Danio rerio: one gene and its partners. The protein of the gene in region 3 interacts with the protein of the main gene of each other region in a biochemical or structural test. Links are inferred from orthologs where the notes say so. Each region holds a gene or a part of one and is shown on either strand. Other genes may lie near its edges.

What was found.
Region 1: the proteins of itcha (region 3) and junba form a complex in vitro, tested with the Homo sapiens proteins (2 studies listed by BioGRID, with this or other methods). The link is inferred for Danio rerio from reciprocal best matches to the Homo sapiens genes ITCH and JUNB.
Region 2: the proteins of itcha (region 3) and ube2g1a form a complex in vitro, tested with the Homo sapiens proteins (2 studies listed by BioGRID). The link is inferred for Danio rerio from reciprocal best matches to the Homo sapiens genes ITCH and UBE2G1.

Annotation. Positions count from the first base shown.
Region 1 is NC_133176.1:55,052,706-55,062,745, forward strand, and holds junba (junB proto-oncogene, AP-1 transcription factor subunit a), read right to left. Parts: upstream 4,898-10,040; 5' UTR 4,794-4,897; exon of another isoform or gene 4,673-4,793; coding exon of another isoform or gene 4,571-4,672; coding exon 3,695-4,570; 3' UTR 3,346-3,694; downstream 1-3,345. UniProt on the Homo sapiens protein: Transcription factor involved in regulating gene activity following the primary growth factor response. Binds to the DNA sequence 5'-TGA[GC]TCA-3'.
Region 2 is NC_133180.1:31,600,795-31,611,442, reverse strand, and holds the start of ube2g1a (ubiquitin-conjugating enzyme E2 G1a), read right to left. Parts: upstream 6,781-10,648; 5' UTR 6,663-6,780; coding exon 6,617-6,662; exon of another isoform or gene 6,091-6,616; intron 6,019-6,090; exon of another isoform or gene 3,009-6,018; coding exon 2,906-3,008; intron 2,498-2,905; coding exon 2,400-2,497; intron 1,770-2,399; coding exon 1,591-1,769; intron 1,492-1,590; coding exon 1,405-1,491; 3' UTR 1,368-1,404; intron 1-1,367. UniProt on the Homo sapiens protein: Accepts ubiquitin from the E1 complex and catalyzes its covalent attachment to other proteins. In vitro catalyzes 'Lys-48'-, as well as 'Lys-63'-linked polyubiquitination. May be involved in degradation of muscle-specific proteins.
Region 3 is NC_133181.1:60,214,805-60,225,352, forward strand, and holds part of itcha (itchy E3 ubiquitin protein ligase a), read right to left. Parts: intron 8,480-10,548; coding exon 8,384-8,479; intron 6,347-8,383; coding exon 6,172-6,346; intron 3,792-6,171; coding exon 3,722-3,791; intron 3,367-3,721; coding exon 3,282-3,366; intron 2,444-3,281; coding exon 2,315-2,443; intron 2,112-2,314; coding exon 2,039-2,111; intron 665-2,038; coding exon 593-664; intron 494-592; coding exon 405-493; intron 322-404; coding exon 162-321; intron 1-161. UniProt on the Homo sapiens protein: Acts as an Acts as an E3 ubiquitin-protein ligase which accepts ubiquitin from an E2 ubiquitin-conjugating enzyme in the form of a thioester and then directly transfers the ubiquitin to targeted substrates.

The DNA of each region.
Region 1 (10,040 bases), on a different chromosome or scaffold from region 3:
GTAACAAACACAGGTTAAATGCACTAGTTAGTCTGATTTCTGTCTGAAGAAGCCGTTTCAGCCCGCGTCTCTCATGCACTGAAATATCTGTAGTTTGTGTTCAGCTAGTTAGTCTGCATTGCATATTTGGTACTCTGTGAACATAGCTGGTTTTAAATTCTCTCAAGTTGTTGGCATTCTGGTGATTTTGTCAATATCTCTGTTAAATAAACAGGCTGTTATTGCTGAATGTTGCAGTTGTCTTATTGTGCTTGCTACTTAATGGATGGTTGACCTCAAATTAAACATTTAATTAGTTTAGAAGGTATGGTAATGGCATGGTAAACCGAATTTTAAATGCAGAAGGACACAGTAGTGTTTTCTTCATGTTTTAATATTAGAATTATAATAGATGGAACAGAATTTGAGAGATAAATGCATATCATGAAATTGCATGATAATTCATGAAACTAAACCTGCGAAAACAAATTTAATAAATAGGCAAAAATTAAATGAGTAAATAAATCAATAAATTCTTGCATAAATAAAACCTTAAATAAATATCCAAATGAGTGTATTTTAAAATTTTTTTTAAAAATGTTGCATAAATAAATATTGAAATGAATAATAGTGTGGGTATGGAGAACAAAACCTGCAAAACAATAAAGAAATATGCAAATAAATGAATAAATAAATACATACACATTCCTGCATAAATAAAACAATAAATAAATACCTACGCAAACAAATATTTATTCTTGCATAAATAAAACATTAAATAAATACACAATTAAATGTATAAAATCTACAAATTTGTGCATAATTAATAGTAGTTTGAAAGGGGGAGAAATCCACGTTCAGTTAAGCATTTTCTTATTCCCCCAACATCTGTGTAATTTATTTTTAATCTGCCTGTACTATTTAAACAATTATTTATGCAGGAATTTGTGTTTTATATACATTAAGTTATTTTTTGGATATTTATTAATTTATTGCTTTGTTTATGCAGGAATTTATTAATTTATTTACTTATTTATTTGGCTAGTGTTTTATTTAGGCAGGACTTTGGGATAAATTTGCATATTTATTGATTTATTGTTTTATTTATGCAGGAATTTGTGGATTTATTATTTAGTTAATTTGCTATTTATTTTTTATTTTATTGTTTTTGCAGGTTTCTCCCTTTCTCCCTCCATAGTATCTTATATAATATTATAATTCAATTAATAGTATAAATATACATTTTACCACCCCTATAACGGTTCATACCATTGTGAAGGCAAGCGCGCCAAACACTCTGTGAGGAAAAAACATTCACTCGACGATAGTCTGAAACTGGCAGGTCTTCAGCAGCTACAGACATCGTAAGTGTTTAAAAGACACTTGTTTTAAGTAGAATATATGTTTGTGTCTGTATATAACTTAAAACTAAAGTCAATTGAGTTATATAGATTGACCTAAAGTAACCCCTGAAACGACTAATCGAGTCACTATAAGTTAGAATACGCTAAATATCCTTTAAAACACTGAAGACTTATGTTTTATTATTAAAATATACGTAATTAAAATGAATATATAAAACATATATTATTATATAAATATATAAAACAGACATTTGATTCACTGAAGCGTGTAATACGCTATCGAACATAGGCCTAAATGATTCACACCCTGATTAAAATGCTTGTTTAAGAATATAAAGTTATTAAGATTAAAGGTAGCAGGCGAAGTCAAACGTATTTTCTCTGATAATGACATTACAATATTTTTGGTGGAAGTCAAAATTAACAGAATATTAACAAATCTGCCCTGCAGGTGGCAGTGTTTCATTATAGTTAGGACAGAGTTACAGCTCTGGAGTCCTCATTGATTCAGCTGTAATGAAGCAGGAATCACTTTTCTACATAAACCCAAAACAATTTTAATAAATATTTGGCAAATCTCGTGTTCAGGACTGAGTGAATGTGTACTTGCTTAAACAAGTGATTCGTAAATTCTGTGGTTATTTTACACTGAATTTTAAACCAGCTCAGACATAAATAGTAATTTAGTTAATCTCCTAGAATTGTCTTTATTGCTTAAATCTGTAATTTTGTTTACAACATCCCCGTGTTTTCTTATTATTTAAAGGCCAGGGCTCATTTCTGTGTCCATGAAAAAGGTAAATTCTGCCTTAATAAAATGTTATACTTTTTTTTTTTTTTTTTTAAATATAACAGATATTATAATATAAAGTGTGCCGTGTTATTATCCTGTCATCTCAAGCTTTACCTTATTCATTCACTCATTTTCTTGTCTGTCTTGTCCCTTTGCTTTACCTTATTTAAAAATCTAAATGTTTATAACGTGTATTAGCTTGGTTTCAGACTATGGTGACAAAAATGACCACTACAAAACTAAAAAATATGCTAAAAATGTTAATTATTAACTTCATATGTTGCCAGTAAAAATTCCTGGGTTTAAAATGTTGACTTGGCTCTTTAAAATGAAAGGCTATTTTATAATCTAGAAACTTTTAGATTGATCTTTATTGTGGAATAGGGTACTTTTCCAGATGATTTTGTAAAAGAAAATATAATAGGCAAGATGCCTTCTTTTAAGAAGAGATTTCTAACACTGCATCGCTGCGAAAACATTTGAAGTAGCTAAGTGAACTTTCTACGGCACAATTCAGTGTAGATGTGTGTTTATAGTCTGTGAGGAGGCTCGAAACAACCATTCATTCAACATCTGAAAGGTGTAATTAGCATAATGGACAAATAACCCTCTTTTTGTCACCTAAAATCTAAGTATTTTAGGAATTATTCAAATGAATTTAACATTTTAATAAAGGGTTGGCGTTTTTAATGGCCAGTTCGGCTAATCTACCGCCTGTGTGTTTTCGGGAAATAGCTGATAAAGGAGTCACTGTGGGCACTTCTCGTTTATAAGCCTTGCTCTTATATTTACTGAGATCTGTTTGTCTATTTTTGTGCTTGCGACGGCTCCGTTTTCTGCAAAGTACCTGGAAAATGCCCGTGCTCATATTTTTATCTCTAGTTTTCTTTTCGCTGAAACTGTTTTGGGAAGGTTTGTGCGCGCGGGGAAAATCCCGCGTTGCTAAATTTTCTCTCGTTCACACGCGCTCCATTCATCGAACGTCAGAGTTGAAAGCGCGCGGACTTCCTGACCGGTAGCGTGGGCGGGGGTTCCCGAAATCTACCCTTAGTGACGTACATAGACCAAAACTGCCCATATATGGGCCTTGCGTCAGCAGGAAAAAAAAAGCCAACGTGGGCACGTCTTCGACGTAACTTTAAAGCCGTAGGCTACAGAATAAACTTTGTTTCTGCTCTACGCTTGAAATAAACAACCCAAACAGTAGAATCATTTTCAACATTTTTACTTAAATATAAAAAATAAACAAAAACAAACAAACAGAAAAACAGTTAAAGGTCTGGCTCAACCTGACTCACAATATCAATAACTTACTGGAATGTTTTCAAAGGGCAGCACTTAACAACAAAACCAAAACTGTTCACTTCAAAAGTTTAGTCCATTGTCCGTTCGGCTGAAAGTACCTTATCTTTGGAAAACAACAATAACATTAAAGTTTTCTACAAGAAAACACTTAAGAAATATACAACGCTCGTACTCAGTGCTGCGACAATAACATCATCACAAACAGGATCTGCTCTTCCAGTGTTTCCCAGAGTCCGTAGCATCCCTCTCCCCCCTAAAACGACTTGATCTTCGGCGTCAGCATCAGCTGGCACCCGCTGCTCACATGGGTCATGACCTTCTGCTTAAGCTGAGCTACCTGCTCCCTCAGCAGGGACGCAGTGCTGGACAGTCCGGCGTTATCCGACTTGAGCACTTTCACTTTGTCCTCCAGCCGGGAGATGCGCTCCAGCTTCCGTCGCCGGCACTTGGTGGCCGCCAGTCGGTTCCGGAGCCTCTTGCGCTCCGCTTTGATGCGCTCCTGGTCCTCCATGTCGATGGGCGACATGGGAGGAGAACCATCGCTGCTCTGCAGGTCGGGGACGGTCTGTGGCTCCTCTTTCAGAGTAACGAGCCGCTGCGGATGGAGCGAGTGCTGGAAGTGATGAGGATGCGGCGTGGGCTGGTGGTGATGGTGGTGGTACTGCTGGTGGTGGTGATGGTGAGGCAGGTAGCTGATGGTGGCTGTCGGGTAGTTGGCTGCAGGTGTGAGGTTAGTGTTAGGATTGCAGCTGTTCAGGGTGGTGTACACCGGAGTCTCGGGCGGTAAGGAGGCGCCGAAGACTGACGACGCCACCGAACAACTCGACACCCCGGGGGCTCCGATGGACACGTTCGGCGGGGGCATTTGGTTCATTTTGTGGAGCTCGTCCAGCGCTTTGACGAATCCGTCCGCGAAGCCCTCTTGCTCCTCTGTGATGCTCCGACCGTACAAATACTGCCCCGGCGTGGGTGATGTGATGACGCCGTTACCGTTCTGGATGATGAGTCTCTCTAGCTCCGGAGAGGCGAGTTTCAGCGAGCCCACGTCTCCGGTCGCCGCCGTGTAGAAGTCGCTTTCGGAGCGGAGGGTCTTGAGGTTCCGGTAGGGTTCGGCGAAGCTCACGCTCATGTTCTGCTTTAGGAGCTTGTAGTCGTGCAGGGCAGCGTCTGGATGACCATAAGCAGAAAGAAACGAGTCGTCATAAAACGGTTGCTCCATTTTTGTTGACATGTGAACAGAGATTACGTTGGGACGTACTGAAGCTGACTAAAGTCCGCAAGTTCTCTCCGTTATATTACATCAGGCAAAAGAGAGCAAAAAAAGAAGAAACTTCCAAAATAGTTTACTGTACCAATTCGACAGGTGTTTTCTCTCGACAGCTGACGTCCAAAAAGTGTCTTCCCAGACGGTTATTTACAAACAGCTCTTCTGGCCCGTCGCGCATTCAGTATCATGATAAGTGCGCCTTCATTCTTATATACTCCAAATGCTGAGGGCGTGGCTGAGATAATCGCGGCCGCTGATTGGACGAGAGTTCGTTCCGCTCCTCGAGCTGTCAGATGGGTTGATGACGTTGTTGCCAGTAAGCGCTGAGATTGAAAACAACGCTGGAGGCGAGAGAGCAAAGGGAGACCGAGCGCTGCGCTCCTATTTTTGTTTCCACAGACAAGAAGCAAAAACTGGCCGCAATAGCTCGGCACTTTTAAGAAAAGTTTCCCATGGCCATGAAAACAGAAACACTACTGTGGTCTCTTGAGAAAAACACTACGTTAGAGGATGTCGTGTGAATAATAATAATAAACATTCTTGTCGAAATGGAAACAAAAGGTTCCAACACAATACTGTGATCTCCGTAGATCTGAAGCAGAATATACGAGGAGCTCTTTAATATAAACGAAATTGGAATTTATTTTAAATGTCAAGCTCTAAATATATTCCTTTAATTTAGGTGGAGCATCTAAACTGGCCATTTAAGTAAATACAGGATTGCAGGATTGAGATTGGGGGATTTCAGCCCAAGTTAAATGTGTCTGAGCTACCACATCATCTCGTCAATGATCAAGAGAAGCTCTATTAAAGGGTTAGTTCACCCAAGAGTTACAATTCTGTCATCATTTACTGACTGGATTCAAACCTTTCTTTATATGTTGAACACTGAAGAAGATATTTTGAGGAATGCTGGAAACCCATTGACTTCCATTGTGTTTGTTTTTCTTAACCGTTAGATTTTTTCAGCTTTCTTCAAAATATCTTCTTCATTGTTCAACATAAAAGTTTTGAAGCAAGTAAAAGGTGAGTAAATGATGACAGACATATAATTTGTGGGTGAACTATCCCGTTAATGTGCTTTATTGTTAAACATGCTAGGAAAGGCTATAGTGAGTAATATAAAAATAAAAGTAATTAAGAGAATATCTAATACAGATTCATACAAGGGCTTATCAGCTATTTGAATTGGACTGCTTTTTAAGTACTGAGTCATATAACACATAAAACATGACTAGTAATAATAATAGATCCTTCTCATAGAATTCACTGTAAATAAAAATGTGTTAATGAACAGTTACTGTATTTAGTGATTCACATGTGTGTTTTCTGTTTATTTATAGGTGTGAATTGCATTATGGGATGTTGATATCTGCTCTGTCGACTTTTAATGTTGAAAATTAAACTCTGCAGTTGAACAAAGTGACTTTTATTGACATTTTTGTCAACTTTATCAAATGAAATGAGTGGAGTTAACTCAAAATTCACTGAAAGTTAACTCTACACGTTCTTAACGTTTAGTTATTTCTTAAACCCAATGGTTGAGTTAAACATATTTGGTGCTTTGTTGGGTTATTTTTACCCTTTATTTGGTTATTTAATAATAACTCAACCAGTTGGGTAAATATTTGATGTTTTGTTGGGTTACGTTTAACCTTTATTAGGTTATTATATAATAACTCAACCAGTTTGGTAAATATTTGATGTTTTGTTGAGATATTTTTTAACCTTTATTAGATTATTTAATAATAACTCAACCAGTTTGGTAAATATTTGATGTTTTGTTGAGATATTTTTTAACCTTTATTAGATTATTTAATAATAACTCAACCAGTTTGGTAAATATTTGATGTTTTGTTGAGATATTTTTTAACCTTTATTAGATTATTTAATAATAACTCAACCAGTTTGGTAAATATTTGATGTTTTGTTGAGATATTTTTTAACCTTTATTAGATTATTTAATAATAACTCAATCAGTTGGGTAAATATTTGATGTTTTGTTGGGATATTTTTTAACCTTTATTAGATTATTTAATAATAACTCAATCAGTTGGGTAAATATTTGATGTTTTGTTAAGATATATTTGAACCTTTATTAGATTATTTAATAATAACTCAACTAGTTGGGTTAAAATTTTGAATTTCCACAGTCAACTGATTTAACTGACACAGAAGAGCTGTATTAATATGCGCAAGTAATGTTGTTTTTGCGTTGTGAAGTTTAAGCTGTAACATAATAATATTGTTATTTTTTATCAAATTACTCTCTGTGTCATGTTTTTTATATCAGTTTCACCTGCCATTCTTGCCTTTGGGACCCAGCGGAGAGATTCATTAATTTTCACAGCCATAGTTAGAAAATAAAAGTAGTACTTCAATAGTAATAGCAGAATGGAAAAAATAACATTTAATTAAAATAACCCAATGCTTTGGGTTAAAATAGCCCATAGTTGGGAAGGTGCTATAATAACCTATAGTTGATTTATATGTTGGGGTATTTTTAACCCAACTATTTTAACAGAGAACTCATTTGAAAATAGTTTTGAACTCAGGGTTGAAGGTAATGAGTTAATTAAATACCTCATTAATTCAACTTAAATGGAGTAAAGTGCTCATATTGATTTGTTTTTTAACTCAAATGGTTTGTAGCAATCAGTTTCTTCAAACGGTTTGAGTTGCCTTAACTCATTGAGTTTTGCAGTACTCAGTTGGTTTGAGTTCTCTTCATTTATTGGGTTTTACTGTGATCAAATTGCTTCGTTTACTCAAATGGAGTAAGTTCACAGTACTCATTAGGATTAGTTTTTGAACTCAAGTTTGTTGCAATAGGTTACCTTAAATGGTTTGAGTTACCTTAACTTTTGGGGTTTTACAGTGTAGTTTGAAATAATATAATGAATAAGAAATAATATATTGAGAGAAATAAATCAAAGAAAATGTACTGGCAGTTTATTACGAGGTTTTTGTAACACAATATACAACACCAACCCAGACAATATATCACTTTAAACTATTAGAAATGTTAATAAAGCCACTTGTTATGGCTAAAAGTTGTTGAAAGAAAGATCCCATAATGCAATTCAAAAGCTAAATATGTAGAAACATAAAAAAAGAAACTGCTGATGTTTTACACTAGAGATTTGTACTCTAAAGTATAACCTGTAAACATAACTCTGCATTGATCTGGAATGATCTGACTCAGGATTTGGCAACTGATATGAGTCCCATATATGGGCAAACCGCAGTGTAGTTCCTCCTTAGTGTAGGACCGGGAAACCTCTCCCATGTGGGCCTGATTCCAGCGGCGACGCCCCCGCACATGGAGCGCTGGAGGAGGGGAGAAGGCTGATAGATAGCAGCACGTACACAACACTCTGGCGCAAGAGTGTGAGATTCAGAGAGCACGTTCTTCATTTGTTCTTTATCTGTTCTTCATCTGACATATTAATGCAGACTGCATGTTAGTGTAGTTGTGCCGGTCTCTCAAACTTGATGCATGCACTCTTAAAAATAAAGGGGGATTTTCAGTGATGCTGGAATCATTTTGATAATAATTATAATGATACTATTGATAATAAAAGTGATGATGATGAGGATGATAATAGTGACAATATTAATGGTAAAAATATTAATAATATAAATATATAATATAGTAATATAACAGTTATAGTGATATAATAAGAATAGTGACCATAATAATATAGTGGTATTACTACTACTATTGACAATAATGAAAATAATATTAATAATATTAATATTAACAACAAAAAGTATTTTGAAAATAATATTAATAATAATAGTGCTAATAATAATAATAGTGTCAAATAATATTAATAATAATAGTGCTAATAATAATAATAATAATAATAATAATGATGATAAATAATATTAATAATAATACTGCTATTAATAATAATAATAATAATGACAAATAATATTACAAATAAAAGTGCTATTATTAATAATATTAATAATGACAAATAATATTAATAATAATAGTGCTATTAATAATAATAATAATAATAATAGCGACAAATAATATCATTAATAATAGTGCTATTAATAATAATAATAATAATAATAATAATAATGACAAATAATACAGACAAATAATATTAATAATAATAACAGCAACAATAATAACAACAACAATAATAGCAATAATAGTATTAAAATAACAGTTATCATATATTAATAATAATAATAGTGAAAATGATAATAATAATATTAGCAACAACAAAAGAATAACAACAATAAAAGTGATAATAATATTAAAATAATAGTAATAATATGCTAATAATAATATAAACAATAATGTCAACAAAGATAATAATGACAACAATATTAGTGATGATAATGTTGATAATAATAATAGCAACAACGATCATAATAAAAGCAATAATAGTGATAGTAATGTTAAAAATAATAGTAATAATATATTATTAATAATAATTTTATTAATAATATATTAATAAAATATAGTTTTATATAGCACCTTTAAAATAAGGCAAGTTAATTTATGTAGCATATTTTTACATGATAATAATTAAAAGTGCTTTAGATAAACAAAAATTAACCATAAAATACAATAATTATAAGAACTGAAAAAATGTAAAGCATTAACGTGATTAAAAACAGATAAATAATGTGATTAAACAGGTTTAAAATGAATATATTTTTAAAAGTAGCATCTTAAAAAAGTGCTTTACATGCATGAAAACTAGACTGAATACAAGCACACTATAATAAATTGCAAATAAAAATCACAAATCGCATAAAAAGTTATGCTAAAAAAATAATATAAGAAAATTGTTCTTTAAAAACCAAAACAAAACACTTGCTTTCTTTTTGTGCCTGATTAACTTTATAAAAAATATAATAATTAAAGTATAAGCATACAGGAAAAAACACATTTTCCCCTGCACAACCCCCAACCCTCTATACAGCCAAACCAAAAGATATCCCTTCAAAACATAACTTGCAATTTACAATTTTCAGAGTTTATAAACAAAATCAATTGATTAAAACATGAAAAAAATCAGTCATGTACATTGTAAACATTTGCAGACAATGCACATAATGGCATTCTCAATACAATTCATGCCACAATAATATGAACAATCTAATGATTAGACTGTCTGACTACAAAAAAAGTTCTAATAATCAGAAAAAAACACTTATTTCTTAGTGTGTTGAACATCTGAATCCCCATTTCCACTATAAATAACCTTTTATGTATGTTGTTTTTCACCTAACCCACAATGGCTGTCATTCAACCTTAGTTTTAATAATATAGGAAAAAAGCGATTGTTTGTAGCAGGTCAGAACA
Region 2 (10,648 bases), on a different chromosome or scaffold from region 3:
TCAGCTGATAATGATTACAAAATGTAGCCAATCGCAAAAACCAATCAAAATATGACAATGTAAAACACAAGAACCAGTTTCCATGATTGGAATGGAAGCTTTCCACAAGCAGACTAGCTTCTCGGCCCAATTTATGTGTAGCCTATGCGAATCATTTGGGGGGGGGGGGGGGGGGGGGGGGGGGGGGGGGGTCATCATTTTTGTTTGTTTTTGTTGTTAGTCACATATTGGATACAAGAAACAGAAACTAATAAAACTAAAAACATAGTCTTAAATAAAGTATTTCCACGTGCTTTCAGATGGAGCAGCAACACATAGTTCACTGAAAATTAATGCAAACAGCTGTCATATCAGTATAGGGTAATGAGCATCCTGATAGGAGTTCCCTATTGTAAATCAGTATATTAGAATGGATTTCGGAAAAATCATGTGACACTAAAAACAGGACTAATGGCTACTGAATATTCAGCTTTGCCAAACAATTTTAAAACAAATTAAAACAGAAAAGTTTTTTAACATACTTGATAGAATTTAACAACACTACTGGTTTGTGAGCTTTGATGAGCATACAAATAAACTGACCATCTATAAACAAGTCTTAAAAGATGACTACCACACTAAACATTTTTTGTGGCGAGATGCACTTAAAAAAAAAAAAAAAAAAGTTTTCTATTGGCAGTAAGCATATTGCATGCTTTTTACGCACCCTGCATTTGTCCAAAAGCAAACTTGCGCTCCAGCCTGAAGACCATTGATAGAGTGGTCGTCTAGCAACATAAAGAACATATCCAGCCTAGCGCACTGCTCTTTTCTCAAGTAAGCAAAAGGCAGTGTGGTGCACCTTGCGTTTACGGAACTGAAAAGCACATTTGGTGTGACCGGCCCCTAAAAGACTACCAATAAAAGGCTAAGCAGACAACAGAGCCACTGTTGTTACCTAATAATCTTTAGATCTGAACCTCTACTTTAAACAAGTTTCATGAACCTGTTCTAACAGGTTGACATTACCACAACAGATCTCTGCAAAGTCTGACAAAAAGTCCTGCTTGGAGAGGATTAGAGCTGTATAGGAAGGTGGGGCAGTATGGCAATTGTATGATTTTAATATTTTACAATTCAGCAAAAACTGTAATACTTTGACTATTTATATAGTGCGCAAACATATGCAGTTAACAACTTTAAAGTGTGTTTCCCCTTTTAAATATAAAAATAAGAAATAGTCACAGATTAAAAAAAACAATGAGTGTGAATAAACTTTTTCTTGGACGATGAATGTTCAGTTTGTTTCAGACATGTTGAGGAAATAAAAAAAAAAAGTTCACAAGACATTGGCAGTCAAATAAGATGCCAAAAGTCCACTTGCTTACCCTGAAAATAGTGAAGCTACAAGCTGCTAGATGTATATCACTCGAAGGCAGTCTCTTGGCTCTTTCTTACACAGCGGGCAACTTTTCTTTTGAATTCACCATGTCTGTCTTCCCTCCACTCTTTCTGAAATGTTGAACAGATAAAAATGAATTAACACATGAAGTAAAGATCTTCTGCCAACATGCAATCATATCTGGTTTTACAAGTTAACGTTATACTTACTGCTGCATCAACATTGGCAGGGGAGTCTCCATTGGGGTCTGCTAGCATAGAGATGACGCTAATCATGATGGTCTCTACAGTATGGATGGGGAGCCAGCGCTCTTCTGGTTTCTCATAGCCATATTTATCCTCCCCGGGTTCGTGCAATATCGAAATACAAACATCACCATTCTTGTCAACTGTGCAGAACAATACAGAGACAGGACATGAGATTTTAATGTGGATTATATACCACATTAACCATTTTTGTTTGCTGATGATGATCATTTAATTAACATAGTAATATTATATAAAGATAAGTATTGTGGCTGAAGGATTATTACATGACTATAATAGCTAGCAAATAATAAAATGTAAATGTTTCAGAAACATATAGAACTTAAAATGTTGTACAAAATGACAAAAAAAAAAAAAAACTCATGTCATTATTAGCCTAATAAAGAGCATGTCAGTATTTAGGTTTGGCAGATTATTAGATATTTCCTAAGTGGATCAAAAATATCCACAATGCTGCAAATGGAATCAACAAACAAAAACCTGCATGCGGATGAATTTATAACGAAGTCTGTCAGTGTAAATTCGAAACAGTTTCCATATCAGCCAGAGATTCAAAAGGATTTATAAGAACAATTCATATTTGATTTTTTTTGGAAATCTGCAACCCATCCCTCCAACCAACTAAAAAAAAAAAAACACAAAAAATTGTGTATTTATTCAACGATATTAAATGTATGGCTGACAAAATAGTAAAAAAGTATAAATAATTAAAATATATTAAATATTTAAAAGACCCTAGGAGGCAAACTTACCATTTGGATGCCATATTTCTGTAATGAACTTCATTTTAGGAGGCCTGAGAGGATAGTCTTTGGGAAATGTAAGATGGGCTTTAAAGACACCACCCTCACTGTAAACAGAAAAATATAAAAGGCTTATAATACTGTGATTGAACAACCTTTAAATGAAAGGCAACAGCTTAAATTGATTCAGTATGGCATCACAACAAATACATAAACTTATTCAGTTAATTTCCCATTGCATCATGACTTAATACTACAACTGCACTGCTACCTGCCTGATACACTGTGTATTACCATGTAATAAAGCTTTGGCGCATTGTAGATTGTATAAGATCAAGAAATAAACTTGACCTGACCCATCTTAGATTGTGAGAATACCTATACTGTAGCTCTACACAAGTAAATAATGTCAATTTACATTTTGCATCATCTAATTCTTTAGCTGATTGATAATAATTTAATTTTGGTGAGGTGTCACACAACATAACATTTTATAAAACAACAAAAAGACTTACTAGAGTGTATCAGGAGGACCAATTATTAGTACTTCCCATCTGTAGAGGTCATTATCATCTATCAAACCGGCTGAGAAACCTTCCACAGGATTTTTATTCAGTTCTGTCAGGAAGAGACATCAAGGTACAAATTAGCCACTTTGTACAGAAAAGTGTTATAGATGTGACATTTGCAGTAAAAACGTAAAACAAATTCACAGAGAAAGTATGAGTTAATATTATATTGAAACATCGGTTTATATTTTACAAAACAACCAACCACAGTGTCATGGGCTCAGAAAATATCAATCTGTAAACATATTTTAAATGAGGAAAATAAACATGAGGTTTATGAATGTGATCATACTTTTGGCTATTTTGGTGAAAACTTTGGTTGACAATTGCATGGAACTACTCAAAGGGCAAATTGGGGCATTTCAGGGCAGTAGGTGCATACATGCCTTCACATGAGTTCTGATAGTTAGACCTACATCTGGGCAACATTTCAGACAAGAAATGACCAATTTGCCTGTCTGTTATCAGATCAGCTGAGCGACTCTTTAGTCACAGAACGCCTGTCTGTTTGTTCAGATACTCTGAACTTCTGTGTGTTTGCAAGAAGGAGCACAACAGAATATCTGGAGGTTGACTGCATGACCACCTTGTAGTCATAAACAAGATGACAGTTGGGTTATCCAGTCATATGGATGTGTCATTTTTGCACATGAATCACTAAGACAGTCTGGCATTCATATGAAGAGTCTCTTCTGTCAAAGCCACCTTTTTACCACTATCTGATGGTTATTAAATGACTCAATTGTATTTTCAACAAACCTACTTCCAATATAAGAGTGCTGAAGTGTTATTATAGCAACACTAGGGCTGGGCCAATAAACTGTATTATATCAAATTGCGATGAAGTTTGTGTCAATAACAATGATAAGCTTTGGACTTTTTACTCTATATTGATCTAAGAGCCAATCACACAACAGAAATGTGCAACAACGAGAATCTAAAAGTGTGTTGATGTTAGAGATGTCCCAAAATTTTCTGCCACTGAAAAAGTATCGGCTGAAAATATGCTATGCCATTTAATAGACCCTCTAATTTTTGTGGCTTCAGTCATTGCTGGAATACTCTTTTAAATCTGGAAGCATTAACAACTGGTATCGCAATATACATCGTTATCATTCAATATGCAAAATAATTATCAAGATTGCAGTTTTGCCATATCGACCAGCCCTAAGCAACAATCACACAAATAGCATAAAGGGCTGTTCAAACCAAGAATGGATGACAGCCACTACTAGAAAGGTTTACCAACCCTTCAAATTCAATTAGAAGAGAGATGTCCACACAGCAGATTTAACAATAACACCACAGATATACAATATCATTGGAATCACTTTCAGAGAATTTCCTGTCAATGTATGTTAAAAAGCTTGACAGGCAAAGAAAACCCACAAGTTACAAAAGCATGCGCATAAAGTGACATAACAGTAGTGCTTTTAATAACAGAACATTATCTGAAGGCAAAAAAATACATAATTTATTTACTATCCTGCAGTCCATTCAACCAGTGTATGACTGACTTTCTTCAGCCAAGGTTTTGGGGAAAAGGAAACAACTCTTCATCTAATGCTAGTGAACAGGGTTCAACTAAACCATTTGGTAGTTGTATTAAATTTTCAGGAAAAATGCAGTGAGCGTTATTTAAAAAAAAAAAAAGAAACAGAAAAGATATTAACTTACTTAATCAAATTTATTTTTAAATATTTAGAAATTAAACACAAATTTTTCTCTAGAAAAGCCAACCTCTCTCCCAGGACAAAAAGTAAACAAAAAGATGAAACAGTATGCAAAGATAGAACAGTAAATCAAATGACCTTAACTTTCTGTAAACAAGTTCAACTTAAGTTAGCGAGATAGTGTAGCGTACTATACAAACAATAATAATAAATAATAAAAAAAAAACACTCAGCAAACTAACATGTCTGAAACAACTCTGCAGTTGTACTATGCTGTTGCTTGCTACTAAATTGAGTGTCCCTGGCAATACTTTCAATTGACTTTTTAGCAAGACACTCATCACTCAATTGTGCTCACTAATTTGTCTAGTAAGACTGTCACAAAAACGCAGTCACGCGTTTGCTCTGGACGGGAAATAAATGAATTAAAAATATACAAATATATCTTCATATTACAGCCTCTTGTGATTAGCTAATCGCAACATTTCAAATGGTGACTGCAATTAGATTTCGATTAATCACACGGCTCTAGTAGACGCTGCAATGTTTTTACCCAAAACCTTAATTTTTTTTCAACTTAAAGTCTCAAAACATGTTTAATAGCTTGGGGTGGGTAAAAAATTAAAGGTAATTTTTGAGTGATTTCTAAAAAAAACCTCTCTACACATGGCATTAACATCACACAAGTTGTGCCCGCATTTTCCTGGCCCGTATCTTTTACGGGCCAACATTAATGAACGTTGTGAGGCTTTTGTTCTCACGAAGGGTTCACTGAGTTTAGATCAAGGCTGATGAGTTCACCATGCTGGTTCTTCTGAAAGGAGACAACCAAAACAGCCCCTGACCCCCTGAATCAGTCAATCAAGCGCAGGGCCTCTGCAGAACCTGACGCCATGACAGGCCCGGGGTGCCGCTCACCCTGCGACCCTTGGAAAGAAACAAGCGAGTTGCTTTTATGTGTGTGTAAGATGAGTAATTTGGGGGGATGGGGTTGCTTGAGCTGTCTGTGGCAAAGAGACAGCTGTCATGTAGCAGATCTGTTGTTTTGCTTTTTAATTGATCTCATCAGACCCCCAAACTCAGGTAATCTGCCTAGTTTGACCCCTATAACTAACTCACTTCACTGGCTGCACTGCGCAAATGGGGCCCAGTGGAGAAATCCTCCTCTGGTTGAGCTCAGTAAAGCTGACACTCGCGGATCATATTGCTCAGTGTGTGTGTGCTGGGCATAGAACAATAGGAAACACTCATAACGACTCTAATAAGAGCCAATTTCCCGCACAGGTCTATGGTGACAGAGACTATGGGTCTCCAGTTCTCGCTGTACCGGTGAGCTGGTGATCAAACAGCAGCCATCAATTTGTTAGCTTTAGCCTGCTAGCCAGCCTAGAAAAACAAAGGGATTTGATCAACCCGATGCGGGGTAATGGCACACAATATACGGCTTATAAATCTCACCTTTAAACCGTGCGATAATACTATTGGTTTGACGGACAACGATAAGACAGTGAGCAGAAATTGGACCAATGACAGACTTTTCCTCCATTTATAAGATGACTGGTTCTCTTGCGGAAACTGCGTCCGGACACAGATGTCAAAACACGGGGGTAGCCGATCGAGAGCGGCCCCGCCGGTGTGATACGGAAAAAAGTGACTGACACTTATGTTGACATGAATAAACCGAATAACACTAAACAAACGTGCGCGTATTGTTGTTTTAATTATGTTAGAAAAACTCTCATGTTGATATTTTAGCAAGAGTAGTACAAAACTAGCATTTTAAAATAACAAAAGACGACGGGGCTTGCCTTTAGCCGGCTATTTTAGCTGCTAACATGCTAACTAATGCTGTATGATAAACACAGCGCTTGTTAGCGGCTAAACTAGCGGCTAACGGCTAAAATGCTCCGTCTCGGGTGTACTGGCTGGCTAAAACGTTCACCGGTTTGTTAGCCTGCCTTCGCCAACAGCCTTCAAATATTACCTGCTAGCTGTCTCCTGAGTAACAGTGCTGACTGGGGCTCCGTCATGTTTTTATAAGTTATATTCTAGGTCGACAGACGTTCACCTCGACAAGGAGAAAAAATATGTTTGAATTTGCTTGCGCGTCTTCCCGTCTCTGTTCTAGTCCGTTTTGCTCAACATTCTGATGCGGTATGCGCATGCGCTCTGCTCTCCGCGAGGCCGCGGCGAGAGTGTGCTCCAGGGTACTTATGGGCGGAGGATTCGCGCATGTCAGAAACAAATATGCTTGTTTTTTAACAAACGGCGATGGCATTGACTGCGAGATTAATTATGTTATCACTTTAGTGACGTTGTAGGTGAGTCTAATCAATTGTCTCGTTATAGCGAAAATCTGTAATCATACATTTATTATTGCTTTTTCTTTTCGCAAGTGCCATTTTTATTAGAGAAAATTGATTGTTGAGGACAGTACAGTGTCATTCAACCACTAGGAGACAGTACAGCGTAATAATAAAAGTCAAAATGTGTGATAGAGGCGATCCTTATGAGAATCATCCACTTACACACAGCTCTCATAACCGTTCATGACACTTTAACGTCTTGGTTGTGTATTTCTTACTAGCGTGATAAAAACATTTTATTTGAAAACATTTTTTTTCGAAAGACGTCTCTTTTGCTCATCAGGACAAAAGTAAAATAAAAATAAAAACTTTGAAATGCAGTTTTTAGTTAAAACAACTTCTCAATTTGACTTTCAAACAAAAGTCAATTGACTAATTCAAAGTCAATGCAGAAATGTCTGCTGTTATTACTTGTTTCCAGTGTTGCATTATCTTTCAGGGATCAATCTGATAGGCTGATTTGCTGCTGAATATATTTTTTTTCTGATTGTTATCAATGTTCATTTATTTTTATGGAAACAGTCGTATATTAAGAGTACAAGAGTAAGAGCACAATTCAAATCATTTTCACAGATACATTAAATTAATTACATGTGACAGTAAATATATTTAGGTTTCAAAACATTATACTTCAGTTCAATTGTGTGTGTGTGTGTGTGTGTGTGTGTGTATGTGTGTGTGTTTTTTTTTTAAGTTAAAATATCCACTAAAATTAGCAGAAACATTTAGTTCTGAACTGATAAAATGAGAACCAGTAGTAATGATTGAAGACCAAAATAATTCAAGAAGACTGGAGTGACAATGTTTCGAATTACAGAAATAAATACAATTTCTTACATTTTACATCAATTACATTATCAATGAACAGCAAAGACTTTCAAAAACCCTGACAAATCATAATATCCCCAAATATCTGACCTGCAGTGTACATCTTGTCAGAGAAACTGCACAATAAAGACCTTAAACATGATTTTTTTTGTCTTATTTAGTCTTTACTGTGGTTGAATACCGCTGTACTTTCAATGACAACAACTTTCAACTAAATATAAATGGCTTGCAAATGATATTATGTTCTGAATAGTGACTCTAATTTAATTTCAGTTTATTATGTGTCTAACTTCTTGTTTATTTAATCAAAATCCATAAACTTTGTTATTATGGCAACCCACATCAAATAATAATTTATAGTGCATGCAACAACACACATGCAAAACATTTAATCATTATTTGAAATACACGAAAGACATGATGACAGGTCAGTGGTTTTAGGTAAAAATTTTACATATTGTGTATATGTAGATTCATTCATTCATTCATTCATTCATTCATTCATTCATTCATTCATTCATTCATTCATTCGTTCGTTCGTTCATTTATTCATTCATTCATTCATTCATTTTCCTTCAGCTTAGTCCCATTATCCATCAGCAGAATGAACCGCCAACTTGCGGATGCTCTTCAAGCTGCAAATTAGTCCTGGGAAATATCCATTCACACAGATACACCACGGCCAATTTAGCTTCTTCAATTCACGTACACGCCTTAGGACTGTGAGGGAAACTGAAGCACTTGGAGGAAACCCATGCCAACACAGGTAGAACATGCAAACTCCACACAGAAATGCCCACTGACCCAGTCGGGACTCAAACCAGCAAGTTTGCTGTGAGGTGACAGTGCTAACCACTAAGCCATCGTGTCGCCCATTTTACATACTGTAAAATATATTTTACGTGTGCTACAATGAATGACTGTTTGTTTTAGAGAAGTGGTTCGGCAGAGAATTTCACAAGAATGGCAACATTTGCATCATAATGGAAGCACCACAGTTTCGCCAAGTTTCTCATTTAAATTAAAAAGCAACCATGAGAAAAATAAATAAATTGAAAACTGTAGAGTGGGAAGTACTGCAGCACACCCGATTATAGCTTGGAATGATCAATCTACTACATAAAAAGCCATAAACTTTACAGAGTTTATCAGACAACACAAGATTAGGTTTCCATTTGAGAAAGTTCCCTCACGGGTGTGGATTTTCCAGCAGCTCTGTCTGCAAGACCTTTGTCCTGGTGTTCAGAACATTAGCCTGAAACATAATGCCAAACACCCTGGCAAAACTGGGTAACAGATCGATGCAAAGCAGAAAGCATGATGTGAGTGCATAGATGAAAATCTACGGGTTTGTGGTGTATAATGCAACAAGGAGGAACTGTTCATCTGCATGTGACCAGAGGAAAGGGGGCGGGGCTTGATTCTAACTTGATAACCCTGCAGCGTGCTGTACTCACACAGGAATGCATTTCTGTTGTGACATCTCAACGAACACAGAAAAAAGACAGAAAGTGAGAGAAGAAAGACAGACAACAGAAAAGATGGATTAGAAGAGACATTGGAGCACATAAGCTGAAGCGTAAGTCATTTTACATTTACATTATGAAAATAGTCGAGGTGTTATGATGCAAAAAATGAATCAGTCTCATTGTCAAGTCTGCTTCATTCCAAATTGAGTCAAAAGCTGAACAAATATATGGCATTGTCCTGCTGTGGTCATACTCTGATAAACATCACAACAGTGGCATTGTTGGTAGTCCGCTGAGGATCTCAGACCTGAACTGAACCCTGAAGTCTGATGAAAAATAAAAGCTTTCTTCATAATTTGATATGAGTGAGTAAAACACATGTATATGAGTTCAGTTTAAAGAGTCAGTCAGTGGGTAAGACATTTTAAAGTAAAGTGCTCTTCCTGTGTTAATATAGGGTCATCATAGGTCTAAAATAACACCAGTTTGTGGGTTAGGATGGAAACGAGACAGCTTGCTGGGTGCAACCAGCAAGATCACAACCATCTTCAAGATAACAAGTTCCGGTCTACATTCCATTCTCATAAACTGTAGGTGTCTTGTAGTGTAAATCCCCCTCCCCCGAAAGACAATTATGATTAAAAGGCATCATTTGCCTTGAATTTGCTACCAGGAAATGTGCACACTGCCAAGTAGCTGCATCTACTGTATATCCGCAGTCATGTTTTTACAGCAACTATAACATAGACGCTTTTTATAATTTTTTAATAGCATGTCAGGACCAGACCTTTTTTGGTATTTCTGCATGGAATTTCGTGGAAAAGATCTGTGGATTTATGCAGATAGATTTTGAGAGCATAGGAGCTGAAAAACTAACAAATAAAAATATAAATTTTTAAAAATGTTTTAAAATGAGGTTCTCCTGCTCATCAAGGCTGTACTTTTTCATCAAAAATACAGTACGAACTGTAAGATTGTGAAACGTTATGGCACTATAAAATAACTGTTGAAAAGTAGTTATTATTAATATTATAGTATATATTTGTAGTAGTTATTATTAATAGTATTAATAGTTATAAAAACAATAATGACTGGAGTTATAACTTCATTTGAAACTACATAAGTAAGCAGCTAATAAATAAAAAGTAATAAGTATTCAACAATTTAACATTTTATAATAATTGCCGTCTTGATGAACAAAATGATTTTCTTAAAAAAAAAATGAAAAAAAAAAAAACTGACCCTAAACTTTTGACTGAAAGTGTATATATATTAGATAAGATTTTAACTTAAATGGTTTGTAGCAATCCGTTTCCTTGAATGATTTGTGTTATTTACTCATTTAAAACAAGC
Region 3 (10,548 bases):
GGTTAAAGAGTGCGTTTTCTACAGGTGGTCTGTCAAGCCCACTCACCTATGTGAGGCACACTCAGAATTGCATGTTTTTAGGTTGTCATGTTCACAATTAGATTGTCTCAATAATTTTTGGCTCGTCATTACATCCCCACACTTCATCATGATTATCATACCATAGCAATGAAGCGGCCGATGAACTTGAAGTATTTGAGGTGGTCTGGGTTGATGGAGGATGCTGGGTTAATCTGTAGGCAGTAGTTATCTTTGCCGGCGTATTCAAACAGACAGTACATGGGGTTCAGGACCTCATGCGAGAGCAGGAAAAACCATTCCCTGCCACAGAAATACACAGCATTAATGTGCATGTGTGCATATGTCAACTCAGTGCATCCCTTCCCATCAATGATGTTATGTACCTGGCCACGCCTCCATAGTCAAGCCCCTCCTCCCCTGGGAAAATGATCCACAATCTTCGCCTCAGGTCTTGTGGATGGCAACCCATAATCTAAATAAATCAATTTTTAAAAATGTATAATTTATTTCTGCACATCGCATGTAATGAGACCCTTAAACTTTAAATATGTGTAAATAAATCATCATTTACCTGCTGAAATGAGTCCTCAAACAGCGTTTTGCGACTCACATGGATTTTGATGTGTTGAGGCATTGATAATTGCTGTGGTGTTAAAATACATGTTTTAATTAATAAATAAATATTTACATTTGCAAATAATTTTTTTAATTAGTTTTGGAACTATGTCCATAAGCTCTTAAATTAAAAAATGTTTTAATATTTATTTCAGATAAATTAAATGTATATATTTTTTTTTACAAAAAATGGGTTATATCATACATATATTAGTATTATTATTATTATAAAATATGAAGTATATATAATAATATTTTTATATTATTAATATAAAAACAAAAACAATAATATAACATAAAAAATAAATAAATCATAGTAAGCATTTATAGATTTATATCAGTAATTAAATATTCATTATCATTTTTATATGATAAATAACTTTAAAAAAAGCCTAAAAATATATTATTTTATTCTGCCAATTAATAAATTTTTTTTAAAAGAATCACAAAAATGACCTTCTTCAATATATTAAAATAGGTTTTAAACATTGACTTGTGAAATAAAACAAAGGTTTGGACACTTATTATTATATAATAAACTGTATAATTAATAATCATATTTTTGTTAATTACAACAGCATAAAGATAAATAAACAAATAAATAATACTATGCAATAATATACACTACCGGTCAAAGGTTTGAGGTCAGTTTTTATTTTAAAGAACATTATTTTGCTCATCAAGGTGTCCCTTATTAAATGTAAAAAATAATAATTAATTGTTAATTACTTATTTATAAAATATTTATTTATAACTTATTACATGTTGTTTTTAAAGGAAATTATTACTCCAGTCATTATTTTTTATTACTATTACCGATAATAATAATAATAATAATAATATACATTATACATAATAAAATAACAACAATGATAATTAATATTAGAGTGATTTATGAAGGATCGTGTGACTCTGAAGACTGGAGTAATGAAGCTGAAAATTCATCATTAAAATCCCTAGAATAAATTATTAAATGAAATGAAAAACTACTTTTGAAAAGTTATTTTATAGTGCAATAACATTTCACAATTTTACAATTTGTACTGTATTTTTGATTAAATAAATGCAGCTTTGGTGAGCAGGAGAAGCTTATTTTAAAACATTTTAAAACCCTACTGACCCCAACCTTTGACCGGTAGTGTATGTATATTAGTCATTATTAAATGTTAATTATCATTTTTATATGATAAATAACTTGCAAAAACTCACAACTTCTTTTGGAAGCAGACTGCACTGTCCCCCAATAATTTACAATAAAATGACTTAATTCAAGATTTTAAATTAAAGTTTTAAGCATCGACTTCTTAAATGAAACATCAGAGATTTGAAGACATCAGGAGATATTAAAACAGCTTTATAAAAAATCATTTTAAATTAGTATAACTCCTCCATGAGGTCTTACCTGACACCAGAAGCGGAAATAGTGCACTTTGGCTTTAAAATCTCGTACGTATGTGATCTGAGGGCCGTTCTCACTGCAGGTCCACAAAGACACAAACAGACAGATGGTAAAACACCACACACAACCTCACTGCAATGCATCAGCACTGATTAAAAACAAAACAAAACAACATTGAACTTAATTTGTACACTGAAACAGGAGCGTCACTGTGTAAAATCAACATGCTGAAGGTTTTAAAAATAAAAAAGTTTTTCTTATAATAATATAAGAACTCACAGCGAGGATTTTCCTGTACGGGGGTCTATGTATGTTGTAGTTCTTCTGTTGTGATCCACAAAATAGGGAATCCCATCCACTGTAAACCTCATTTCCCAACCTTCCGGCAAAGGCTTCTCATTTAGCAACCTGACAAATTAAAACAATTAATTACAACAAATATAATGCTTATTGCCTGCTTGTAAAAAAATATAAAATAAATAACAAATAAATAACAATAATAATAATATACAGAAAGGAGGAAATTTGGTTAATAATAATAATAATAATAATAATAATAATAATAATAATAATAATTATAAAACAGAAATTAGGTAATTTAGTTGCAAAAAATGTATAATAAAAAATAATAATAATAAAAATTATGATAATAATAATAATAATAATAATAAAAATGATATTAATAATAATAATAATAATAATAATACTAATAATATAAAAAGATAAGGAATAAAAAATATTTTAAAAAACTTGATTAATTCAATATAAAACTTACAAATGCTGCCATGGCAACTAAATGAAATTTAAACATAAAAAATAAAATAATTTAAATTGCAATAAAACATAATACATTGTCTGTATTAAATATAATTAATATCTAAAAAAATGCAGCAAAAATACTAAATATCTCACAATTTCAATCAATTAAATACTGAAAATATAAAAAAAGCTTAATATAATATTAATATGAATGAAAATTAAAATAATAGTACATTGAAATGAACATAAGCTTACAAATTTATAAGCAAGCACAGAATATTAATAAAAAACTTTAATAGCAATAAAACAATAAAAAAACAATACTATTTCAACTATTAACAAAAAAAATGACAAAAGCATGCAACAAAACGGCTAAAAATTGAACTAAAAATAAAAAAACATTGTAAATATTTATAGAATTGCAACAGTATATAAATATTAAATAGTACTGTATAAATATATTGCGTGCAGCTCATAATGATCCCACCCTTGTGTGCGAGGGTCTTCCCATTGTGTGGATCTTGTAGGATGGTGAACAAAATACATCCTCCTATTACTGTCGGTACGTTTCTCTGTGAGCGAAACAAACAAACACACACACACACACACACACACACACACACACACACACACACACACACACACACACACACACACACACACACACACACACACACACACACACACACACACACACACACACACACACACTTAATTGTTTTTGAGTGACTAATCCTGATTAAAATAACACGGCATCCAAATAATCACAAATGATTGAATCACACATTATGTTTCAGTGTATAAAGAATGTGCAAATAGATAACGTCCCAAAATAAACACACACAGAGAAAAAAAAAGCCAGTATGAGCTGCTCTATTTTAAGGTTGAAATGAAATTTCCTCTTTCTGCAGCACAAAACAGACTCACCCCATCCTGACGGCAGCGGTCCCAGAGGGTCAAACTCTTTATTAGCTGTCGGCGCGAGCTGTTCCTGCAGCTGAAGACATGAGCAGAAGGAAAGAACAAGAGCAGATGAAATACCCTCAGCTAAGGTCACAGAGGTGATTCTTTTTATTAAAAATCATCTAAGGAAAAAACTCAACATCTGACTGCATGTCCTGTTACAACTGTGTCAAAAATATTTCAGAAATTCATTCAGAGATTTAAAAAAATTTACTGCTATTCTCTCTCGAATCAAGTTTAGCTTAGTGGTTAACAGCAGATGGCGCTCTAGGCTAGCTTTTAACAGCAGTTGGCGCTCTAGACTATATTTTAACAGCAGATGGTGCTCTAGGCTGGTTTTTAACAGCAGATGGTGCTCTAGGCTGGTTTTTAACAGCAGATGGTGCTCTAGGCTGGTTTTTGACAGCCGATGACGCTTTTGGCTAGTTTTTAACAGCTGTTGGCGCTCTAGGCTAGTATTTAACAGCAGATGGTGCTCTAGGCTGGTGTTTGACAGCCGATGACGCTCTTGGCTAGTTTTTAACAGCAGATGGCACTCTAGGCTTAGTTTTTGACAGCTGATGATGCTCTAGGCTAGTTTTTAACAGCCGATCCCTGCAGAAAAATCCAGCTTAAACCAGCCTAGGCTGGTTGGCTGGTTTTAGCTTGTCGACCAGGCTGGTTTTAGAGGGGTTTTGGCCACTTCCAGGCAGGTTTCCAGCCATTTCCAGCCTGGTCTTAGCTGGTCGGGCTGGAAAATGACCAGCTAAGTTCAGTTAAAACCAGCTTGACCAGCCTGGTTTAAGCTGGACATAGCTGGTTTTGGCTGGTCATCTCCCAGCCCGACCAGCTAAGACCAGGCTGGAAATGGCTGGAAACCAGGCTGGAAATGGCCAAAACCCCTCTAAAACCAGCCTGGTCGACCAGCTAAAACCAGCCAACCAGCCTATTCTGGTTTAAGCTGTTTTTTTCAGTAGGGATGGTGCTCTAGGCTATTCTTAAACAGCAGATGGCGCTCTAGGCTAGTTTTAAACAGCAAACGGTGCTTTAGGCTAGTTTTAAACAGCAATCTAGGCTACTCTTTAACAGCAGACAGTGCTTTAGGATGGTTTTTAACAGCAGATAGTGCTCAAGGCTGGTTTCTTTACAGCAGATGGTGCTCTATGCTAGTTTTTTTAACAGCAGATGGCGCTCTAAGCTAGTTTTAAACAGCAAACTGTGCTCTAGGCTAGTTTTAAACAGCAAATGGCGCTCTAGGCTACTCTTTAACAGCAGACAGTGCTTTAGGATGGTTTTTAACAGTAGATGGTGCTCTATGCCAGTTTTTAATAGCAGATGGCGCTCTAGGCTAGTTTTAAACAGCAAACAGGCTCTAGGCTAGTCTTTAGCAGCAGATGGTGTTCTAGGCTGGTCTTTAGCAGCAGATGGCGCTCTAGGCTGGTCTTTAGCAGCAGATGGTGTTCTAGGCTGGTCTTTAGCAGCAGATGGTGCTCTAGGCTGGTCTTTAACAGCAGATGGTGCTCTAGGCTAGTCTTTAACAGCAGATAGTGCTCTAGGCTAGTCTTTAACAGCAGATGGTGCTCTAGGCTGGTCTTTAACAGCAGATGGTGCTCTAGGCTAGTCTTTAACAGCAGATGGTGCTCTAGGCTAGTCTTTAGCAGCAGATGGTGCTCTAGGCTGGTCTTTAGCAGCAGATGGTGCTCTAGGCTGGTCTTTAACAGCAGATGGTGTTCTAGGCTAGTCTTTAACAGCAGATGGTGCTCTAGGCTGGTCTTTAGCAGCAGATGGCGCTCTAGGCTACTTTTTAACAGCAGGCAGTGCTCTAGGCTAGTTTTAAACAGCAATTGGCGCTCTAGGCTAGTTTTAAACTACAAACAGAGCTCTAGGCTAGTTTTTTAACAGCAGACGGCGCTTAAGACAGTTATTTAACAGCAGATGACACTCTAGGCTAGTTTTAAACCGCAAACAGAGCTCTAGACTTGTTCTTTAACAGCAGACGATACTCTATGCTAGTTTTTAATAGCAGATGCCACTCTAGGCTAATTTTAAATAGCAGATAAAGCTCTATGCTGGTCTTTAACCATGAACTCAATTGCTCACAATGAAAAGTGCTTGTACTTTGCCTGAGTAATGAAAATTGGCTTCTGTGCCATGTGATTAATATAAAAACAACTCACTATGAACACTCTTGTAATTTGCTTAAACGTTTCCTAACTTTATTAATAATTGTTTTAGTTTCAAGTGGTATTTGTAAGCAATTGGATGCAAGCAGAGTTTGGCTGTTTGTAAAGCATACAGCGCCATTTGTTGGTAAAAACTAAGTTCAGAATTAATTCAAGAGAGAACAGCAATGCATTTTGAAAACCTCAGCACTGATTTCTTGAACAGTTTTTTTTTCTCGCCACAGCTGTAATGTCTACTCCACATGAACTCACGCCATAGATGAACCTCTGGTTGAAGCGCTGCATGGCTCCCTGAAGTTGACTGCGCTGGTTCTGCCATTCCTCATAGTTGCGCACCGACTCTAGCGTGGGTCTCTGCCATGTGGTGGTTCTGTTTATATGATCCACATAATACACACGGCCCATTGGGTCTAAACGTCGCTCCCAACTACAGCATAAACACACAGCATTCTCTAAATAACATTGTGATGATGAATGTCTACAAAATACATGAAAATCAATAAAAGTAACAAAATAAAGACTTAAAGTAAGCTTAAATGCTGTTTTAGGAGTGTGTGATATTTACCGCCTGCTAAATGAATATGGTAATTGTTGCTTTAACAATGTGTGAATTTTTAAACGACATTTATACAAGCAGCGTTGCCCAACTTTCTGTCTAAATAAATAAATACATAATTACACACTAAGTACAATTACAAATTAAACACCAAATACTTACTTTACTTACAATATTTACAATATACTTACCACTTTAAGTATACTTACTTTACTTACTTTATTTACAATATTTGCAAGATATGCAGATCAATAATTCGACAAGCAAGAGTGCAGTTTTCCAGAATATCAGCGCAAATACAATGTCGCTTTTAAGTTTCATTACCAAAAATAGCTCTGCACAAAGGCTTTTGTTTGTCTTAATCAACACTCTACTGTTTAGTTCCTAAATAAATCGGTTTTAGAACAAATAATTTAATCTGAGAAATATTGCTAAATTACGAAGTATGCTATCCATCTCAGATGCAGAAAAGCTATTCCATGCCTTTATGACTTCTAGGCTGGATTACTGTAATGCTCTGTTTGCTGGCTGTCCAGCATCATCTATTACCAAACTTCAATTAGTACAAAATGCAGCTGCCAGAGTTCTTACCAGGTCTAGAAAATATGATCATATCACCCCAATGTTATCCTCCTTACACTGGCTGCCTGTTCAGTTTTGTATTGATTTTAAAATATTCGTTCTTACCTATAAAGCTTGAAATAATCGAGCTTCTGTTTATCTAACCAACCTTCTGTCTCGCTACAATCCAACCCGCTCTTTAAGATCTCAAAACTCAGGGCTTCTGGTAGTACCTAGAATAGCAAAGTCGAGTAAAGAAGGTCGAGCCTTCTCCTTTATGGCTCCTACACTCCGAGGCTAAGAGACACTCTCCCAGTCCAAAACTAGATTAAAGACCTATCTGTTTAGTAAAGCATACACTCAATACATCACTTAGCGGGTTTCCACACAAGTTTCTGCATCTTGTTCATGTACACTATGAACAGCAGCTATGCTAATTATTCTCTTTATTCTCCATTTCCACCTGGGGATACTCATCCCGAGGTCCTCAGATTATGTGGAGTCACTGATTGGATCCAAGACCAGCGATGAGATGATCCCAAGGTTTCCATATCCGGGACCAGGCCGTGTCCTGAGCAGCTGCTGCGCTGGTCATGGAGGAGTGGAGAACATGAAACTGATTCCAGTGATGCTCCAGGGACAGACGAGTCTTCGCTGAGGCCAGCATCCAGCCTCCACCGCTGAGACTGCAGCTCTGCACAAGACTTTTGGCCAGCGGAGAAATCAAAATGGTGGTGCCAATGGAGGCTGGTTTCTCTCAAGTTTTTTTTTTTCTTCACTCGCCAATCGGTCAAGTTTTTTTCCCTCTCCGCTGTCGCCTCTAGCTAGCATGGTTTGGGATCGGTAGAGCTACCCATCGATGAATTTGCTCTTCAGTGTTTGGACTCTCAGTAATGATATTAAACTACACTGAACTGAGCTAAACTGAACTGAACTTAAACACTAAAAACTGAACTACACTGTTCCAATTACTATGACCATTTATGTGAAGCTGCTTTGACACAATCTACATTGTAAAGCGCTATACAAATAAAGCTAAAAGCTAAATAAATTTTTAACAATCATATTAAACATATTAAATGATTATATGATCAGAAATATCCAGCAAATAATAGCAAGATTTCATTATTTGTTATTATCGCACATCCTTTTGCTGTCTTTATTTACTCATTGCTCAGATGCTCTTTAAAACGTAATTATTTGAGAGCTTGGACCTGGCTTAAAAGCAACTCTTCAGTATGTATATTAGTGTCTTAATATGCACATAATATGTAATGTTTAGTATGCAAAATACAACTCTGATGAATCTGTTAAACTGAAAAGCAACCTCTGAGGATCACTGGTTACCCTGGTGGCAGAGGTTCAGGTCTTTCCCATGTGGTTCTTTTCTCGATGTGATCAACATAGTAAACGCGTCCGTTCTGATCCGCTCTCTGCTCCCAGCTATGAGAAAACACAAAGAAGAAAATACAATACAGCCAACATATGTGATGGATTCTTCAATTCAATTACTTTTCAACTTAAAAATGATATAAGCAGTTATATTGTTAATGTTACTTATAATTTACTTGTTTTAAATACTGTCAATAAATTAAACAGTTCTGTATAAATAAATTCAGAGGGGTAGGCCTGTCATGGCATCTATTTTTTGTTGTTCAATATATTGCGATAAACAATATTATTGTCATTTAAAGCAGCGGTTTTCAACTGGTTTGGCCATGGGACCCACATTTTCACATGGTCATCAAGCCGCGACCCAAATTTTTATATATATGTAAATCCCCACTTTACATATTCGGGGTCCGACTTGCACTGGAATTTCACATGTCAAATGGGACGGTTGTCGCACGTGCATTTCAAAATAAAAGTCTGATATAAGCAAAATAAGTTAAATTTTAAACTTTTGTTGTTTTTTTTTATCACACACTCACACCCACTGAAAATGTTTCCGAGACCCACCAGTTAAGAAACACTGATTTAAAGGCCATTTTATGCCACTTATTATATAATGCCAGAATGACAATATATGTACGCTATATATTTTGCATAATACAAGTACACTGTTCCAAAGAACACGATATTTCATTCTTAATAATATATTATATTTAATTATAGTCATTTTAACAACATAATAAAGAGGCAGTGGAGTCAGAATATGAAAATGCATATCCTAAATAAATAATAATAAATGTTAACAAAAAGTGTGAGGTAAAAAGTAACTGAGGCTGCGATATCTGCGACCAGATAAATTTTTTTAGCTGTCAGACACCCACCTGAAAATATACTATAGTAATTTACAGTAAATACTATAGTGTTTTTAACCCTACTGAAACCTCTAATAGAGACAGAGGGCCCTGTCATACAATCGTTGCAGGGCGCGAGACAATTGTTATTTGCTAGTTTCAGCTCGGAGCAAGAGTCAATTTGATGTTTTGCAGTCAATTTCGCTGTTTAAATAGCAAATGTATTTCCACCCATAGGTGTTCTGGTCTAAAAAAGGAGGTGTGTTAAAGGGCACCTACGGTTAAAAAAATCTACTTTTCAAGCTGTTTGGACAGACATGTGTTTATATATAATGTATAGACCGTCATATTGGGCTGATATAAACATACCCAGTGCTTTTTTTTTCAATTTACCAACATAAAAACGGTGGACCAATTGGAGCGGTTTTCAGAGCGACCGCAACTTGACGTAGGAGTGCGGTCCCCCCGCCCACCAATATTGATTGATAGGCACGCGCCCCTTAATCCTCAGTTTGTCGTTTTACGTCCGCCATTTTCAGCGTGAGTCAAAGCGACGTCACTAAAGGAACACCCTTGCTCTATTTTTAGATGTAAGGCTCATTGGGCTCAACACAAGACCAACATTCACCACTTGATCGCTCTAATCGGAATTATTGGTTGTAACTTTAGGTAGGTTTGCAAACGTGTACTTTTCATTGAGTCTACCTTAAACTTCAGCTGTTCGCATTTCTCACAATCACAGAAGCTCCCTGTGATCTTAGGTGCAGCTGGAAAAGTGCAAGCGCGTTGCCTCATGTGCGCATCTCTCCATTGGAAATAAAACAACAAACTTGCCTGCAGGTCGCACACCAGAAGCTCCGCTCTGCATGTTGCAACGCTGACGCAACGCCGTGCATTTTGGAATTCTGGGGGTGAGTTTCTGTTGGGGTGCACGCAGACAGCCGCCAACTTGGAGCACCGTTGTGTGTGCACCCTGATGAAAACCTGTGTTTAGAGTTCTAAAATGTGTGGCGCGACGATTCGGGACACTTCATGTTTCTGCCGTGCCACAGAGAGTGTCTGTTGTGCCGTGTCACGGCTTTGAGCGGCTCATCCGGTGTCTCAGTCAAAGTTTATTGAGTGTGCGTGGTTATTAGTCTAGGTGTAAAAGCTTTGCACTTGAAACTAGAACACAGTTGGCTGTAAAACTTGGCTGTATAGAGTTTAGTTCAGTACACAAATGATTTTGTACTGATGATTTTGGTCTGTATCCGAGTCGTACATGTACGG